Regions from separate parts of the Mus musculus genome. Here region 2 is reported to be linked to region 1. Evidence: microRNA targets listed by miRTarBase, many of them from high-throughput screens and not tested one by one. Region 1 holds a microRNA gene; the other region holds the end of a gene's coding sequence.
The links. Region 1 holds the annotated microRNA mmu-miR-669a-3p (ACAUAACAUACACACACACGUAU, at 976-998, opposite strand). A microRNA usually pairs through its seed, bases 2 to 8, with sites in the 3' UTR of a target mRNA and lowers its output. Matches are read on the target gene's strand: a 7mer-m8 pairs with bases 2 to 8, a 7mer-A1 pairs with bases 2 to 7 and ends in A, and an 8mer does both.

Region 1 (3,108 bases):
CACTAACACATCAAGAAGTTAAACATGAATTTGAACTCCTCATCCTCCTAGCTCTGGCAAGCATACTCACCGCCTAACTGAGACATAGCTCTGGCCATTCCTATGAATGTGTTTGCATGCGTGTATATGCATATTCATATAGAGAAGTGAATATGCACACAACTATACACACATGCACATTTTTGGTGGGCATAAGATGAATCCCATGCTGATCATGAACTCATCATGAAATTCAGCACGAATTTGAACTCCTTATCCACCTGACTCTGTCAAGGGACTTCACCTGCTGAGTGAGACCTCTCCCCATTCAGTACTGAGGAATCTTAAAACTCTAAGTCACACGTCATTCAAATGGATCGATGAGTTGCACTGATGTTTGTGTGTGTGTTTCTGTTTGTGTCTCTGTACATGTACTTATTTGTGTAGATAGGTACATCCATATACTCAAATCCACACACAATAAAAACAGATAGAATAGAGATACATAGGGGACATCACATGAATCCCAGGCATATCTCTAAGTCATCATGAAGTAAAGCATGAATTAGAACTCCTGATCCACAATCTTTCACACCTGGTGAGTAAAACCATTCACTGTCCCACTACTGCATAATATTTAAAACTTTAAGTCACATATCATTCAAATGTATAAATGAATGCAATTTTTTTCCTGTGTGTGTGCTTGCATATACATGTGTGTTTATGTTATGTATATCATGTCAACACATACAATGAACATACAAGTAAGCACACATACATATACATGGGTTGCATAACATTAATACCAAGATGTCTCCAAATGAAGTTAAGCATGAATTTGCAATCTTTATCCTCCTGACTTTGTCAATCTTTTACACCTGGTGAGTGAGGACATTCAATGTCCCCTATGGCATAATCGCTAAAACTCTACATCACTTATCATTCAAAGGGATTGGCGAATGCCATTCCTGTGTCTGTGTATGTGTGCTTGCGTTTATACGTGTGTGTGTATGTTATGTATATTCAAATATAGACATGAACATGCACACACAACTATACACACATGCACATACATGGTGGAATCACAGGCTGATCTCTCATGAGGATAAGTATGAATTTGAACTCCTGATACTCTTAACTCTAGCAAGCATTTTCACTCTAAGTCACTTATCACTCAAATGGATTGATGAGTGCCATTCCCATGTGTCTGTGTGCTCATATGTGTCTTATGTGTGCGTGTATGTATATGTATATCATATTCACACATGTACATGTACACACACATCAACACATACACACATACATAGGGGCAATCACATGAATGCCAGGATGACTCTAACTCATCATGCCTTTACCATGAACTTGCACTCCTGATCTTCCCGACTCTACCAAGGGTTTTCCCGTGGTTTGTGAGACCTCACCCTGGCCCAGTCATACATAACCTCCAAAGCAGTAGGTCACATTTCATTCAAATGGATCCGTGAGGGCCATTCCCGCATGTCTGTGTGCATGTGTGTGTAGGTGTGTGTATGTATATGCATAAAATATACACGCATATACATGCAGGCACTTACGCACACAGGCACATACATAGGGGCCATCACATTAGTCCAGGATGATCTCTAACTGCTCATGAAGTTAAGCATGAAATTGAACTCCTGATCTTCCTGACACTGCCAATTGTTTACACCTGGTGAGAGAGAATATTCACTGTCCCTCTACTTTATAATCAGCAAAATTCTAAGACATATATCATTCAAATGGATCAATGAGTGTCATTCTTATGTGTGTGAGTGTGCATGCCTGTGTGTGTGTGAATACATTTGTATGTGTGTGTATTTATAGGGATGATCATATACACACATGTACGTGCACACACAATTATATGCACATGTACACACCTAGGGTCCATGACGCAAATCCAGGGTGATCTCTAACTCTACATGAAGTTAAGCATGAATTTGACACGAGAAGACTCCTAACTCTGGTAAGCGGTTTTCATGTGATAAGTTGGATGTTTCCATATACCATGAATATACACTCAATGAAACTCTAAGCACGTATAAATCAAATGGCTGACTGACATGTGTGTTTGTGTGCACATGTATGTGTCCCTCGGTGTGTGTGTGTGTGTGTGTGTGTGTGTGTATGCATGTTCATATACACACATGTACAGGCACACTTCCCTATACACATACACACATACACAGGGAAAATCACATGAATTCTGGACTGATCTCTAACTCATCATAAAGTTTAAATGAATTTGAACTGCTCATCCTCATGATGCTGGCAAGAGTATTCACCTCCTAACTGAGACAAAGATCTGGCCGTTAGTGAGAGTATGTTTGCATGTGAGTATATGCATATTCATATACAAAAGTGAATATGTACACAAGAATAAACACATGCACATTCTTGGTGGGCATCACATGAATGGCATATTGAACTCTAACTCATCATGAAGTTAATCATGAATTTGAACTACTCATCCTCCTGACTCTGGCAAGAGTACTCACCTCCTAACTGAGACATAGCTCTGGCCATTCCTATGAATGTGTGTGCATGCGTGTATATGCATATTCATATAGAGAAGTGAATATGCACACAACTATACACACATGTACATTTTTGGTGGGCATAAGATGAATCCCATGCTGGTCATGAACTCATCATGAAATTCAGCACAAATTTGAACTCCTGATCCACCTGACTCTGTGAAGGGACTTCACCTGCTGAGTGAGACCTGTCCCCATTCAGTACTGAGGAATGTTAAAACTCTAAGTCACACGTCATTCAAATGGATCGATGAGTTGCACTGATGTTTGTGTGTGTGTTTTGTTTGTGTCTGTGTACATGTATATATTTGTGTAGATAGGTACATCCATATACTCAAATCCACACACAATAGAAACAGATACAGATAGATATACATAGGGGGCATCACATGAATCCCAGGCATATCTCTAAGTCATCATGAAGTAAAGCATGAATTAGAACTCCTGATCCACAATCTTTCATACCAGGTGAGTAAAACCATTCACTGACCCACTACTGCATAATATTTAAAACTTTAAGTCACATATCATTCAACGTATAAATGAATGCAATTTTTTCCTGTGTGTGTGT
Region 2 (3,108 bases), not on the chromosome of region 1:
TGAGATAACAGGGAAACTTTAAAAAAAAGTTTTAGGTATATGAATATTTTGCTTGTGTGTATTTAGATTAACATTAACACTGTTTCACTTATGTGAAATTTTCTGATTTCTTCTTTGCTCCCTCAGGTGTGTGATCTGTATGATGGACTTTGTTTATGGGGACCCAATTCGATTTCTGCCGTGCATGCACATCTATCACCTGGACTGTATAGATGACTGGTTGATGAGATCCTTCACGTGCCCCTCCTGCATGGAGCCAGTGGATGCAGCACTGCTTTCATCCTATGAGACTAATTGAGCCAGGGTCTCTCGTCTGACTTCAAGTGAACCATCAGTTTTGGTGGTTTTGATCTTTTGTCACTGAGCCCAAAGAGCCAGGGATTAGGAATTAAGATCATGCACAAAAGTTTCCTAAAAATTCCTGGATGGCTGCAGATGTTGAGGGAAGTATGTGATATTTTAGAAATTTAGGGGGAAAGTAGGATGGATGGTATTTTTATGTAAAGCCTTGACCCAGTGTTTAAAATATAATTGTTATTAGACCTTGTTCTTGCTCCAGTACATAGGAATTGTGTAAAGTGTTACAGCAACTGTACATGTTTAAATTGTGTGTGTTGAAGCTTAGGAAAAAGATAGTTGTTATTTTTCCTAAATGAAATAAGTTTCTTCTCCCACCCAAATTCTTTTCTGAAAAGTTACTGACATTTGGGTCAAGGTTTTATTAAAAGCTACATTTTATAACACTGGCACAAAAAAAAAAAAATAGTAGTTTTAAGCTTGTTTGCACAGTTCTTTTTTTCCATTGGAAATGGAATTCATTGCCTTAGGTCTTTTTAAATAGTGTATTATTATCGTTGGGGCTGGCTCTATGCTTGAAAACCAGTTTATTTATAACCTGTTGTAAGTGCTATATTCTGTTTGCAGTTAGGAAATGCAGAATTCACAGTGATCTCCTAGCTTGTAAGCAAACTGAGATGCACTATCCCTTTTCTATTAAGAATGAGTTGATGTGTCAGGAAACAAGGCTAGCAAAGTGGATTTGATATCCCTTTCCTTGTGTGTCTTATCTTATTGTTTTGGTGGTTAATATGGTGATAATTGAAAGTCAAGTTGAAATTCAAATATTAATATTTCTGATTTGTTGAGCTTTGAATTATGCCACCATGCTTATATAAAAACGAAGGTGGCACCATGATGAAACTTAAAGAAACAGTTTCTCATCTGTAACAGTTTTGATTCTCTTTCCTGTGACCTCTTTCCCCACTGTCTGGAACCATAGCAAAAGGATACTGCATCTCTTGTTACTGTAGTGCTGAGGTTATTGAAGTTACAGAAACACATCTGGTGTGTTTCCTAGAAAAGTACCTGTTCAGTCTTGCTAGGTGACTGACAGGAGAGGCAAATGTGTTATGTTTTGCACACCAATGCAGCAGGGTTTGTATAACCACATGACTTCATAGTTGTGATCTCAAAGGAACTTCTCCTTTATTTTTTCTTGCAATTAATGTAAGAATACTCTAAATCTCTGCACTTCTGAAGGATTAGAGGTAGAAATGGTCTAGTAAAGTGTAATGTTTTATTCATTTAGCATGTGTTTATTTTCCTTATGTTCTCCAGGTGATTCGTTCCTTCCACTCAGTGATATTGTGGTTAAAAAATGATGAGCAGAAGCGCTCTCCACCTTACAAATGAGAAATGTTCTTTTATATTGTGTTGAGTACTTGACTAACACTTTTTTACATACAAAAGTTTCTTGAAGGTTCTTCATAATTGCGGTGTAGAAGAAATTATGTCATAAATAGTTAATTGACATTGAGTTGAAGCAGTCATACATTGCTTAGATTCCCAGTAGATCCCATGATGGAAATATTTAAAGATGAACTTGGAAATACTGAAATTAGACTATCAGGTTCTGTTAAATTGTCTCGTATATCTTGCTTAATTTCTGTTCATTAATTTATATCCATCCAATTATAAAGTAAATTTGGAGGAAACAGCTGAAGTTGTGCCATATTTTTAGTGATAACTCTTTTTAAATTCTTATGTTTTCTAATTATACACTTGTGTGTCATCAAGTATTATAGTCAGACTTTTTTCCCAGGTTCTCAAAATTTGTAAATGTACTTTTCCCAGTCTTTCATGGTGCAGTCTAAGAATAACAACAATAACAAAACCCCCTTCTGTCTCAGATAGTACTGAACTGAGTGCTCTTGGGTGATTCTTATTCTTTTTAACTTTATTCTGCATACAACTATGTTAAGAACCATCAATTTTTGGCATCTACTAAATTGTTAAAAGTTATAATATAGCCGTGAAGGGTTTAATGTTAAGAGTTGGTTACATGTTCTCCAGAATATCTGATCTTTTTATACATACACATACACACACAGTGCTTAATGTTCTGTTTTTCTGTGTGTATGTCAGGAAAAATCACCTTAGGGGCAGCCTTTACATAATAGTAAGGACTTAGACTTTATCCCAAATCATTTTCTTTACACATCAGTTTAAAGCTTAGGGAACTATTTTTCATTGCTTTGTAGTTACTATGGTTTAAGCACACACTTAGAAACTAGATAGCTTTAAAGTTTCCTAAAGCAGGTGTAGAGGGTTTAGAAATGGACAAGACTTGTTCCAGCGTGGCTATGGGATTTGAAATGTCTAGAAAGCCTAACCAAGGAAAAGGGAGGTTTATACAAATTGAACTGCTTGGATATACTTTAAATTATGTTTACATTTGTGATGGTTTGAATATGCTTGGTCCAGGGAATGGCACTATTAGGAGGTGTGGCCTTGTTGGGGTAGGTATGGCCTACTTGGAGGAAGTGTGTCACTGTGTGGGTGGGCTTTGAGCCCTTCCTCTTAGCCATGTTAGAGCCAGTCTTCTGTTTGCCTTTGGAATATGCTATAGAGCTCTCAGCTCCTCCAGAGCCATGCCTGCCTGAACACTGCCATGCTTGCCACCATGATGATAATGGACTAAACCTCAGAACTTGTAAGCCAGTCCCAATTGAATGGTGTCCTTTATAAGAGTTTATAAGAGAAGCCTTGGTCATGGTGTCCCTTCACAGCAATGGAAACCCTAAGACAACATTCTTACAAGGAATCTCT

Region 2: the mRNA of Rnf11 is a reported target of mmu-miR-669a-3p. Seed matches in the 3' UTR shown: 7mer-m8 at 1,406-1,412.

What each region holds. Positions count from the first base shown.
Region 1 is chr2:10,499,280-10,502,387 of GRCm38, reverse strand. It overlaps Mir669a-11 (microRNA 669a-11), which reads right to left and starts at 1,049; the gene lies at 963-1,049. All of the region lies in intron 10 of Sfmbt2 (Scm-like with four mbt domains 2), which reads right to left.
Region 2 is chr4:109,451,441-109,454,548 of GRCm38, reverse strand. It overlaps Rnf11 (ring finger protein 11), which reads left to right. Exons shown (of 3, transcript NM_013876.3): 3 at 127-1,692. The coding sequence ends at 298. Among named protein-coding and RNA genes, the nearest start is that of Rnf11, 24 kb to the left of the region's middle.